2 linked regions of the Caenorhabditis elegans genome follow. The protein of the gene in region 1 purifies or fractionates together with the protein of each later gene. This does not show direct contact. Each region holds a gene or a part of one and is shown in the gene's direction. Other genes may lie near its edges. The genes, in order: wshc-2 and F21D9.1.

Evidence for each region.
Region 2: the proteins of wshc-2 (region 1) and F21D9.1 fractionate together in Caenorhabditis elegans (co-fractionation; one large-scale study listed by BioGRID). This does not show direct contact.

Annotation. Positions count from the first base shown.
Region 1 is NC_003284.9:14,745,203-14,750,987, forward strand, and holds wshc-2 (WASH complex subunit FAM21), read left to right. Parts: upstream 1-2,100; 5' UTR 2,101-2,137; coding exon 2,138-2,200; intron 2,201-2,253; coding exon 2,254-2,418; intron 2,419-2,514; coding exon 2,515-2,649; intron 2,650-2,698; coding exon 2,699-2,945; intron 2,946-3,394; coding exon 3,395-3,876; intron 3,877-3,925; coding exon 3,926-4,177; intron 4,178-4,291; coding exon 4,292-4,528; intron 4,529-4,573; coding exon 4,574-4,759; intron 4,760-4,804; coding exon of another isoform or gene 4,805-4,811; coding exon 4,812-5,036; intron 5,037-5,080; coding exon 5,081-5,146; 3' UTR 5,147-5,240; downstream 5,241-5,785.
Region 2 is NC_003283.11:19,262,257-19,270,236, forward strand, and holds F21D9.1 (F-box domain-containing protein), read left to right. Parts: upstream 1-2,191; 5' UTR 2,192-2,340; coding exon 2,341-2,391; intron 2,392-2,434; coding exon 2,435-2,511; intron 2,512-3,103; coding exon 3,104-3,358; intron 3,359-4,772; coding exon 4,773-5,094; intron 5,095-6,034; coding exon 6,035-6,306; intron 6,307-7,278; coding exon 7,279-7,405; 3' UTR 7,406-7,423; downstream 7,424-7,980. Other genes in the region: F21D9.2 (uncharacterized protein), read right to left, coding at 158-176.

The DNA of each region.
Region 1 (5,785 bases):
CACTCGAAGAACACAACATGTTATTTCACGAGAAAGATATACCCACTACTACGTCACAGCAAAAAACGGCTGCACGAATGAAGAGGAATTGAAAGTGGACAGACTGTGGACATCCGAGTGACCCAGTTCCCTCCTAGATAGTTTTTTTTCGCTTTCAACTCCGCCCACAAAAAAACAGTGCAAGTTGGTTCCGTGCAAACAATGACCTGTGCAACGGCTAGCACTGCGTGACACCCGATTAAATTCGCGTAGATGTTTTTTTTTTCTCTCTCTCTCTTTCGAATCGGATAAAAAAGAAATGGAACTTTTGTTCCACTTTTGATGGTATTTTATTGCGGTGACCTGGATTTTGCAACATGTGCATTCGAGGGTAAAGGAAGAAGGGAAATTTGAAAGAAACATTTGAAATGGGCATGTAAGTTAAGTTAAAGTTTGTCCAGCTATTCTATTTTTCAGGAAAAAAACTGCATATCTTTTACGAAAGCGATATCAAAACATCTTCGAAAGGACAGATTGAAAAGTGAAAAAAAGATAACCTAGTTTTTTTTTGAGACGGAAAAAAGTGACCACCAATTAAAAAAAAACTGTATCGATGCTGCATATGGGGTCACTTAACAAATGGGCTGCTGTTGCCAAAATAAAAACATAAAATTTATTAGGCATATGGTTTAACAAAAATAATGAATTATGCGGTATTTTTTTAGGTTCACGCTTCTAAAATTCATGAAATTAACATTCAAAAAACGGTTTAACTATCTCAAAAAATTCCCCCCCCCCCCTCTAAATTTTTACAGGCTTAAAAGAGGGAGGGTACCGAAATTCGGGCTTTGCTTTTTTAACTCAAATGGTCCAAAACTACCAAATTTCAAAATAAGACGTTCTGTTCTCAAAAAAAAGTTATGATTTGAAAGAAACGTTCATTTTTTAGCTAATATCTCAACTTTTTTGTAGCTTCCAAAAATGTATAGAAAGTGTGCCCGCATCGGCAAAAAAACATCTTAATTAACGAGATAACTATAAATTGTGAAGACATTAAAAGATAATAATTGAATGAAAATTAAGCTCCACACTGAAAAATTGCCCAGTTTTTCCAAAACTTTGAGCGGCACCATAACTTTTGGTTGAGAAATTTTCAGAACGTCTCATTCCAAAATTTGGTAGTTTTAAGCCATTTTGGGCCTAAAAAAAGCTACGTCTCAAATTTTTGTACTCCACCTTTGAACGATTACACTCGAATTCAGAGTTTTTGGGAATAGCTGGAAGTAAATTTTCGGTCGATTGGTGTGCTAATTTGTCAACTTTTGAGCACTTTTCAATCGAAAATGCACATAAAAGAGGAGTATCTACTTTGGGTTTTTTCTTTGTATAAACTCAAAATCTGCCTAAATGCACTAATTTCGTAATGAGAATTCTCAAAAGTGTCTCAAAAAAAATTTAATTTTTTTATAGAGGTGCAAAATTTCGAGAAAATTATGTCCTTATTTTTAACTTAAAACCCAAATTTTGCAAATAAGTCCGTGCCGCAAAGGTGAAAAATTTTTTTCTACTTCATTCTTTATTGCACATGTCAATCTCTTTTGAATACCTATTACTTAAATTTTAACTTAATCAACGAAATGTTGTAAGATAAACGACCAATTTGGCATTTTTTATAACTATATTTAGGTAACTTTTTTTTTCGGAAACCTTCCAACATCATGATGTAAGTTCAATTTTTTCTAACAATATTTTCACCTAATAACTTTGTTTTTTTTTCAACTGTTAACATACAAAAATCTTTAGAACTTATAGATTTTTTACATAGTTATAACGTTATTTCCAACATTCTCTGCAATATTTTTTCACATTTCCACAAGACTCCCATTCATCTTTTCTCACTGTGTGTCAGCCGCCTTCCCTTTTTTGCGTTATCTCGTTCTCTCCACCGCACTCTTTCGCAATGGGCAGCGGCAACACTGCACCGGTAGTACGTCAGCAACTACTCTCGAGAAATGCGCCAGCTGCGCACTTTTGTCTGTTTACACAATTGGTTATTATTATTTTTTTATCGGTTCTTGTTCATTACAATTTTTGAATAACTTTGATAGTTACTTATTTTTATTTCAGAATTTGGTAATTAATAGCCAAACGGGGAAAAATGCAACACAATGAGTGCCTTAACACAAATATTAATCCAAACTCATTGAAAGTCGATAAAGAGGTAAATATATTTTCATTTTCATGGTTTCATAATTCACTCAATCAATATTTCAGCTGACTCAAATGGCTCGTGACATATCAACAAGAATGAACCAAAGAATGACACAAGTCGAGCGTAAAGCCAATGATTTGGAAAAGTTTTCGAGACTTGTAGCATTACGAGTTAATAGTGCAGCATCACGGATGGCCAATCTTAAAAATCACAAAGCAGTTAGGCAGGTCAGCATTTTTTTTTAATTTTGAAGTCATTGGACCCAAAAATTTCAATTTAAGTACAAGCCTCCCACATACCTCATAAATTTTCCATTTTTTCAGGTTATTTCTACCCAAAACATTCCAAATTCTGAAGACATGCGGGTTGATAGCAGAAAAAGCAGCGGGTTCACTCAGGAATTTTTGGATTCTTACAAAAACGCAATTATCAATGCCGGAAACACTATGAACTTCCTGGTGAGTATTTTCATTCATCAAAAAACTTTTAAAAAATCTCTAACTCCAGGAAAATCCAACAGTCTTCACGTCCGGATATATTGGAGAGCAGTCTGAAACCAATGGTAATGCAAATGGACAAAGTGCCAGTAGACCACAAGCCAATAGGAATAGACAAAGAGCATCTAGCTCAGATGAAGATGAAGTTGTGGAGTCTAGTAGATCACGTGTGGAAATCGGAAATGGCGTAGAGCAGCCAAAAATCGATATAGGTCCACGGGTAGCACAAACCGTTGAGGAGCCGGTGACACTGGCAGGTGGGGTTTTTCAATTCGAAAATGATGTATCCAGGAAGTTACATTTTATAACTCATATTGAAAGTTCAAGGTAGGACAACGGAAAGAACGACGTTTTTCCGTTCATAAGCGGATACGAATTTGTTATCAAGCCTAAATCTTATGGAGTAGTGTCGGAAATTAAAAAAATGTAGAAAAATGATGTCACGTCTGAAAAACTTGTACTTCAATGTAGCTGTGACGTCATTTTTGTACACTTTCTTATTTTCCGACACTTCTTGAATAACCCTTTTACACAAAACGCCAATTCACAGGAACAATTTTTTAGCCACCCGCAACTTCTTCGCCAAACTTTTGCTACTTTCCCAACCAGCTTTATACATTTTTATTTTATTGAACTTTATTTCTTTATAAATACGAGAATATGCCCTGACATGAGAAATTCACAAAACTAAATTTGTTTTTTTCAGCTCCGCCACAGCCAAAGCCACCAAAACCATCTCCATCAACTACTGCCATCTTGGTAGATCAAGTCGGTCAAAATGGGATTCAACACTCACCTCAAGACGTACCGAAAGAAGTTGCTAGTATCACTTCACAAAACGAAAATAGCCTGGCAGAGCATCACAATGAGAAATTGGTATCCGAAAGTGCTATGCCAATTGAGAAGGGCCCAACGAGACCGGCGGCTATGGCTTCAGTGATTGGGGAAATGAAGAAAAAGGTTGCCGCAAAAGCCAAGCTTTTGGACTCTGATTCGGATACGGATCGTGAGCCGCTTGGTAGTAGTGAGACCGAATCGGTGACCGTTAAAAAACTGGAGACAAGCACGGTTGAAGTTGTGAAGACCAGTATTTCTGCTGATCCGGTGATTGTGATTGGCCATCCAAAAATTGAAGTCATCGCTGCAGTTGCAACGGTTGCAAAAACTGAAAAGCCAGCCGCTTCAAAGGTTGTTAAAATATTTATAACAATAAACTCGTAATGAAATTGTATTTCAGGTGCTTCCAAAAGCTGTGGCTACTCCTGTGAAACCGGCTGAAGCGACTCCAGCGAAACCAGACGAGTCTGCTCTGTCAAGAAAAATCTTAGCAAATGAGTTAAAGCCAGTGGACACTAAAAAGCTCGTGTCAAGCTTATTTGACTCCGACTCTGACTCGGACACGGACATCTTCAAGCCAACTACATCAATCAAGAAGCAGCCAACAGAAGTTGTCAAGAAATCGGTGCCACCCAAGCCTGTTGAGGTCAAGGTTAGTGAATAGAGTGAATAGTTGTTTGCTCAGCTTTATATTTCGCTCATCACGAAGCCACAATTTTTTTTCCGAAATGTCATGCTCCTATTTTCACAATGTTATATTTTACAGAAAGTAGAGACTCCAAAACCTTCTCAGCCACCTCAAGTCAAACCCACAAACCATACTGCTGTCCCAGCCACTAAACCAGTTGCGAAAAAATCTTTGTTCTCATCAGATTCGGACTCTGATGACGACTTTTTAAAGTCGTTCTCAAAATCAAAGCCTGTTGCTAAAACGGAATCCATTCCCGTTGTGAAGAAGCCTATTGAGCCAGTTGTTGTTCCAAAAGCTGTTGATATTCCAGCGGTAAGTTTTGTTCTAAATACACTGGACAGAGTATGTAAATTGCAGCCAAAACCAACACCTGTCACCAACACTACCGCAGTAATCCCCAAAGTAGAATTCAAAAAACCAGCCGCCAAGTCACTCTTTGATGATAGTGACTCTGACTCAGACTTGTTCTCTCTACCCACAAAACCGAAAACACCAATCGCTCCCAAAAACAGAAACTCGTCAATTGTCACTCAACCTGAAATGGTATGATTGATTTCTGAAAATACATATGATTAGCGTTTTTACTAGCTTTCAGGAACCCTCATCATCTGAACCAGCAAAACCAGCAAAACCATCAATTACCAAAAAAGAGCCACCAAGCGAAACAATGTCTGCAAAAATATCACTAATAGGAGACTTACAAAAATCATTCCGTCTCCCGGGTTCTACACCTAACATTCCTGTCAAAAACTTACCGGTTAGCGATGAAAATGATGTCGCTGCTGAGAATCCAGAAGATCACGTCGGTAGTATTTTGAAGGTAGTACATAGTCTGTTATTTGAAACACCAAGAAAACCTTTCAGAGTCGCTGCCGAGGTCCTTCAAACCGCCGTCCACCAACTCGTCCAAATGCGTCGTCGTCAAACTAGTTGAAATTTTTATAATGGGTCTAACATGTGAATAAATATATGAAGATTGTGAAAAGTTATGTAAAAATTGCTATATGAACATTTTACAATTTTTTTCTGGTGTGTAAATTGTCTCAAAATATCGAATTTTGTGAAAAGAACTTTTAAAATGTGGCCAACTAGAATCTAGAACTTCTAATGGCGCAATCTTTTTAGTGTTGTAGGTTCTGTGATTCAGATATATTTTTTGTCGATAGATAACTAGAGAAAACTAATTTCCGGCCGCTATGCCACAAAAGAGCTGGCAAAGTTTGAGGTTTCAAACTGCCAAAAAGCATTGCCAAGAACTTATTAAAAGGGCACATTAAAGAAAAAATTAGGTTTTGAATTTGACATTAGCAAGTCCTTTGAAGCTTTCACAAATCTTATGAATTCTCAAAAACTATTTATTAAAAAAAATACAATTTTTTAAATGTTTCAGAAATAACTTTATTTTTTTGTGTAATTTATTTTTCACAGTTGATTCAACAGTATTTATTTTTTTTGTACATGGAAGTTATGCGATGATGATCATGGGACAAATATCAATTATGGAATGAAGTGGATTGTGAGTTTTTGGTAAAAGTTTGCTGACATGAATTGTTTTACAATACGAAAGTA
Region 2 (7,980 bases), on another chromosome or scaffold:
AAAAATCAGGGGGCGAGGGGGGCGCCCCCCATAACAGCCCTAATGATGAGTAAACGGGCGGCAAGACCCTTCCGCATAAATTTGCTTCCCTTTAAACCATGGAAGTGAAAAAACAAATGCCATGTAACCGATTTTCCCAACGAAAATGCCAACTTACTCGATGTTGCTTCTGCCATTGGAATTTTCAAGTATTGATTTTTGAAATCTCTCCAGATTCATCAAAATTATCCACATCAGCGTTTCACTTTGACAAAGGTCACGTGCCATTATTGTAATTTTTGTGCAAAGTTTTAGTTAACAGGCGTGTCATTTTTACGTGATAAAATGTAATTTATTCTGTTTTTTGTTTTTTTTTACTTTGAGCAAATTATTCGATATAAAAATATTTCCTCGAACACATGAAAAATCTCAGTTTTTTAAATCAAATAACTGAAAAAAACAGCGCTTTTCAACTGTTGATTCCAGAATTATTCAGAAGTTTCTCGTAACTTTTAGAGAATGCATAAAAAAAAAGAAAAGTGTACAAACAGAATATTTGATTAGATTTCCGTATTTCCACATGTTTCAATGCCATTTTCCTGTCATTTTTCAATGTCATTTTTCCTGTAATTTCACAAAACTATAAAATATTTTTTCACATAAAAATAGTAATACTTTTGATAAAACTATAGATTCAAGGTCTCACTCAATTTCAATTTTTCTTTTCATTTTGTATACTAAAATAATTGATTTGAAAAAAATAATTTCAATCTCCTTAAGATATTTTTCTCAGAGATTTAAGATTGGAATTTTCGTGTCACAACTCTGCAACCATAAAAGAACTGAAATGTATTAAAACAAAAAATTGTTCCTCATGTTATGAGGCTAATTTGCTTAGTTAACAATTTTTTGTTAGTTTTTTCAGTCAACGAGCTACGGGCTTCCAAACATAACAAAGTCGAAAACCGCCACAAACCGCAATGCCTTAAAATTTATATAACTCAGGCAATTGCTAACCAAATCTCGTTATTGATGTTTCGATATCTTCTTTGAACAACTTGTAAAAATTGTAAGGCGGTAGTTATTTGATAAAATTTGTTGGTTTTCCGTAAAATACCGTTAACCTTTCAAAAATGCCTATTTTTGGCTATTTTTGATGGTTTCAGGCCTAAATCTTGTTTTGGAAACTCCGGAGTCACTTTTTTTTTCAAAAAAACTGTATTGTCAAATAAAAGAGTATTGTCACTTAATGACCGGAAAAAAATTCTCCACAATTATAAGGCGGCTATTTTTTTTTAATTTGTAAAAAATCGGTCCAGAAAACTCACTGTCTCGCCCATGAGAGACGCAGAGACAGTTAATCACTTTATTTAGTTTAATTTTTGAATTAAAGAGAGGCTGTGAAATTTTTCATTTTCCGTAAATCTTGTCTCAATGTTTTCTTGTTTCTCCGATGTCCATTTTATTCATATTATCAACTTTTCGATTTCCGAAAAAAAATCGAAACATTTATTTTTTTTCAAACAATATCTAAAAACCTAAAAATCGCTTTGTTTATTAAAGGTGGGGTCAAAATGACCGAATATCATGATTAAAAAAATTTAAAAAAATTTTCTAGATTTTATATGATTTTTTAAAAATTGAAAAAATCTCAGTTTTCCCATAATTCCTATTTAAATTTCCGCCAATTGAACTCGTTCGTTGGAGCACGCTTGCATTATTTTCGTTAATTTTTAACCATTTATTTTCATTATTTCACTGATTGTCTTCATTTTTTGGGGTTTTTAATGGGAAAATGAAAGAAATTAACAAGAAAAATGCAAAATGTCTATTAAAAAGTAACTGAAAATGTCTAAAACTCTGAATAATAGTACCTTCTTGTTAATTTCTTTCATTTTCCCATTAAAAACCCCAAAAAATGAAGAAAATCAGTGAAATAATGAGAATAAATGAAAATAATTAATGAAAATAATGCAAGCGCGCTCCAACGAACGAGTTCAATTGGCGGAAATTTAAATAGGAAATAGGGGAAAACTGAGATTTTTTTCAATTTTCAAAAAATCATATAAAATCTAGAAAATTTTTTTAAATTTTTTTTACTATGATATTCGGTCATTGTGGTACCATAGGCGTGTTTTAAAGCAATTTCCCCACAGGGTGTAGTCCACCTTTAAGTGTAGAAATATCGAATCCCAAAATCGATATTAATTTTTGCCAGGCCAAAAACGCACAATGCAAACAAAGTGAATAGTGGCACCATCTGTTACATTGCAGCTGCCTGAAATTAATATCGATCTTTTTTATTTCAAATACTACTAGTATCATTACTAGTATTTTTCTACTGTAAACTGTGAATTTCAAATGCATATTTCCAAATTACTAGGCACCTTATATTTCCGGATAACATTCAAGGTAGGCAAACATATATGTTATTAGTTAATCTGGTTTTTTTTAGGAAAAACCATTCAAAATACTCAATCTACCGCTTGTTGTTTTGAAAAACGTGATGAATCAAATGAATATTCGTTCAATGTAAGTTTGAATCATTAAAACTTTTGGAACAAAACTAATAGTCTCGGCTAATTTTTAAAGGTGGAGTAGCGCCAGTTGGGGAATTGTTAAAAACCTCTTCTTTGGTCCCAAAATGTCCAAATATCATGATAAAACTTTTCCAAAAGTTTTTGAAAATTTTTTATTTGCTGTCAAAAAGTAGCAATTACTCAGTTTTTGCCACTCATAATTTTGGAAGTTGACCGAAAAAAAATTTTTTTCGATATTTTTTATGTTTTAATTTTGTTCAAATTATTTGTATTAAACCATTGTAGGGGTTGAAACATGCGACATTTCTTTAAATTTCCTCAAATGCTCGTATTTTTCAAAATTTTGGCAATTTGCCAAAACTTTGGCCGGAAATTTTGAAAAATCTAAAATTTTTTGGGGTATTTTATTATGATATTCGGTCGTTTTGAATCACTATAAGTGCAATTAGACAAAATCCCCACTGGCGCTACTCCACCTTTAAAATCCAGTGTGTGATGTGACTTCAAAGTTTTCCGAGCTTGAAAAACGGCAAATTCAGCAAATTTTGCCGCATATCTCTGTTATGTATCCCGTTTCTTTTCAGTTTCAAACTATCGAAGACATCAAAAAAGATGTACAAAAAATTGAGATACGCCAAAAGGAACATATACAAGTTAGTTATCGACAATCACTTCGAATATGACGTTGGAAACAACTTTCCTCTACTATACCAAAGAATCATAATATTCGAAAAAAAGAACGACTTTGTGTCCGTCTATCGTGCAATGTGTAAGAAAAAGTCTTCAGATCCATCAACTTTAGCCAAATACAGTGTGCATTTCTGGGTAGAGTGGTTTTAGTGAGTTTTTATAATTTTTTAAAGGTCGAGTGCCAAAATGCGGGAAATACTTCTAAATTACTTCAAATTTTCCCCTGATTCCGAATATCTATTTGAGAAACTTCAAGAAAATTTTCCTGATTTTTTATTTCAGCATAAAATCGCTTGTGCACCAATGAGTTTTTACAAATGCGCGCCTAAAGAAATTTTCATTGGAGCGCACTTGCTTTGGGTCGATTTACGGGAGCGCTCCATGTTTCTCCTGCGTCACGTGATGTCAGAGTGTCACATTTCGGTTTGATCTACAAGAATTGCGGGAGTTTATGCGCGTCTAGACACACATTTCTCAAGTGATTTCACATGGTTAAGAACATGCTGACGCACAGTCTCCTCGGCGTCGAATTGGGCTGGGGCGCACTTGCTGACACCTTGGCGCAGCCGGGGGAGGGAGTGAATTTATTTAGTGTTGAAAAATAAACTTCGTCGTTTTTTAGCGTTGAAACGAATTTTTTCGCAGAATTCGAACTTAACATTTGTTTATTAGCACAAAATGAAATGAAAGACCATTAAAAGAGAAAATTTGGTCAAAAACTGAAGGAGGAGAAGGGATATTAAAAAATCAACTGTAAAAATGGTGTTTCTCTGAAGATCTTGTATATTTCAAGTCACCCACCTTCGCAATCATCTTCTTTATCCTGAAGATAGTTATCAAAAGAAGCGGGCCTATAATTTTGGAATTCTAGTCTATTTTCCGCGTAATTTCGGAGAAATCCACAAAATGCGCCAGCAAAAACGCGCAACGCGCCAGTAAGCTGGTTTTTGTGCGCTTTCGATGACGAGGAGACTGTGTGACGTCACATTTTACTAGGCAAAAACTTCCCGCATTTTTTGTAGATCAAAACGCAATGGGACAGCCTGACACCACGTGGCTGCTTTTTTTTTCATTTTTTCAGCGTATTTCCTCTATTTTTGTCGATGTTTTGCCGGTTTTTTCGTGAACTAACAAAAAATAAATGTAGCATTTTATTAGCTCAAAACTCTCAAAATTGTATATTTTCAAGTCAGATCTCGACAAACACGGACTTCTGTTGAATTTTTGGGAGAAGAAAACACTGAAATCTTTTCGAAATCCAACTGAAGTCCGTGTTTTTCGAGATCGGACCTGATAAAATACAATTTTGGGAGTTTTGAGCAAAAAACTGGCACAACAAACAAAGGAACACGCTGAAAAAATGAAAACATTCAAAATTAAAAAAAGAGCTCCCGTAAATTGACACAAAGCAAGTGTGCTCTAATGAGAATTTTTGGGCGCGCATTCGAAAATATTAATGAGGATTTTCAAGCTCAAATGTAAAATCAGGGTAATTTCCTTGATATATCATACATAGATATTTTTCACACAGACAAAATGAAACTTTTCCAAATAAAATTTCAGCAAAATAGACAAATTCGGAGAAAGAAAACTTGTTAATTCGGTATACAAATATAGAAATGCGAAAAAATGTTGGAAACTCTTAACTCGATTCGATGAACTATTTTCAATCGACCACGTGGATTTGGTAATTGATAGGAGTAAACTTTTTCGGTTTCACACAACACTAGAACATCCATTATTTCGAAAATGTGATTATGTGGAGATTGTTAAAAGTTATTCGTATTTGACGAACAATGATATGCAATTTGTATTGAACAATTTCAATTTGAAAAATGGAATGCTGGTTAAATGTTTGTTTTGGAAGGATTTCAAACTGGAATTGGTGAGTTTAATATCCCTTACTAGACGATTGCCTCGAAACATACACTTGCCGGTTTGCCGATTTGCCGGAAATATCGAGTTCCGCCAATTTGCCGGTTTGCAGATTTTCCAATTCCAGATATTTGCTGGTTCGCCGATTTGTCGGAAATTCACAATTCTTGGCAAATTTCCGATTTGCCGATTCGCCAAAAATTTTCATTTTTGCCAATTTGCCGAATTGCCGGAAATTGTCATTTTCAGCAATTTGCCGGTTTGCCGGAAATTTCAATTCCGGCAATTTGCCGATTTGCCAAAAAAAAATAGTTTTTGGCAAATTCGGCAAATTTCAGATTTCCGGAAAAATATGCCGAATTACCGGACATTTCAATTCCGGCAATTCACCGATTTATCAGACAAATTCATTTTTTGGCGAATTCGACAAAGAGGGAAATTGCCGATTTGCCGGAAATTTTCAAATCTCGGAAATTTTCATTTTCGGCAACTTGACAATTTTCCGGAAATTTCAATTCCAGCAATTTGCCGATTTGTCAAAAAAAAATCGTTTTCCGGCAATATCGGCAAATTGTCAAATTACCGATTTTCCGGACATTTTCTATTTTTGGCAATGTATTTTCGGAAATTTGCCGGAAAATAATAGTTTTCCGGCAAGTTCGGCAAATCGACAGTCCGCTGATTTTCCGAAAAAAGTCGTTTGCCGCCTGCCATTTTTCCGCCAAATTGCCGGTTTGCCGATTTGCCGGAAATGTTCAATTCCGACAATTTTCCAATTTGCCTAAAAAAACTGTAATATCTCGAAGAAAAAAATTTCGAAAAAAAAAACCCAAAAACCTCTCTCCGTTTATTTCACTTTTAGAAAATATATTTGAAATTTTCATAGATTATTGGGTATTGAAGTTAGTCCTGTTTTTTCCTAGATCTAGCCAATAAAATAAGCATTACAGCTGTTCAAAATTCCTCGATTGGATATTTTCAATGCACAACAGTTCACACTAGATGTATTAATAAAAATGGATTGTAAGGTCATCAAATTATGGAAACATGAACTCGGACCACACCATATCAATCAATTTATTCATTTGTGGATGGCGGGAGCAATGCCCAATTTACGAAGACTTCGCTGCAACGACTTTTGTAGCCCTTGGCAGATGGATGAAATTCTCCGTGGCGTTGAACATTCGAAGTGGGATGGGGAACGTCGAGCAAGGATTTTTTGGTTAGTGGATTATTTTTTAAACAAAACAAACTATTAGTTTGGAGACTTCAGAATTTTCATGGCGTTTTGCAAAAAATTTTCAACTACTTCTTTCTTAAAAATTAGTTTACCGACAATTTTGTTTTGAAAATAATTTGGTTCACCTATAATTTTGTGCATTTGTTATCAGTTTATTCAGTTTATTTAAAGGTGGAGTAGTGCCAGCGGGAAAACTGCTTTAAAACACGCCTATGGTACCACAATGACCAAATATCATGATTAAAAAATTCAAAAAAATTTCCTAAATTTTATATGATTTTTTGAAAATTGGAAAAAATCTCAGTTTTTGCCTAATTCCTATTACCGCCAATTGGACTTGTTCGATGGAGCGCGCTTGCACGTTTTTAAATTTATTTATTTGATTTATTGTTATTTTTCACCGATTTTTAATGTTTTCGGTGTATTTTTGCTTGAATTTTAGATAAAAAGTCAAAATAAATGCAATTTTACGATTAAAAAGCAGAAATACAGGCGTAAAAATGAAAAAGTAAACGATTTCGAACCTGAATTAATTAATTTCCCAGATTTACGCTTGTAAATTAGGTTTTTAATCAAAAATTAGCATTTATCTTGACTTTTTCTCTAAAATTCGAGCAAAAATACACCGAAAACATTAAAAATTCGGTGGAAAATAACAAAAAATAAAATAAATAAATTTAAAAACGTGCAAGCGCGCCCCATCGAACAAATCCAATTGGCGGAAATTCAAATTGGAATTAGGCAAAAACTGAGATTTTTTAAATTTTCAAAAAATCATATAAAATTTAGAAAATTTTTTTGAATTTTTTTTATCATGATATTCGGTCATTGTGGTACCATAGGCATGTTTTAAAGCAATTTCCCCACTAACGCTACTCCACATTTAACATTTCATAAAAATAAAAATTCAGAGACTCTAGTCCAACTTTACTCCAAACGATACCTACTTTTCAGCGATGGAATTGAACGAATTAACTGTGGAATTGGAGACGATATCGTTCGAAATGATGGAGTACTTGCAACTGTGTTTTACATAAATAGATGTGTCGATTTTCTTGTATGGCATGACAACAAATTTTAATAAAATAAATAGAATATGCAGTGTATCATCATTACTTATATATAAAAAATACATTTCGTCTGTCGATAGTTTGTAGTCTATTTAGTCTTTGTAGTCTGAAAAGTTTTGGCTTTTGACTAGATATTGGTTTAGGGTTAGTGTGGTCGGGGTACTGAAGTAGTACTGTAGGCTAACTGTAGTTTTGGAAATATTGACTTTTCGTCTTTTGAAGAGATATTGGTTTGGGAGTTAGAAGGGGATATGGCTGTAGTACTGTAGTACTGTAGAGATATTGTAGGACTACTGTAGGATTACTGTAGTTTAAAAAAAGTGAGTTTTTGTCTTTTGACGTATCTTCGAACTTCTAGAATTTTTTTGGAAAATCTAGAATCTTATAGAGTTTCTGTTGACACTCCGTCTGAGAGGAAGCCAGGACCTCAGAGTGACAAATTGTGGACGACGAAGGAATGCGAAATGTAGGATGAGCAATGCGAGTTCATAACAGTACACAGTTCACGAAAATCCAAGTTTATTAGCAGGGCAGCATAGAGCTGGAATAAACAGGGAAAAAACGGCGAGAATATTTAGGAATATTG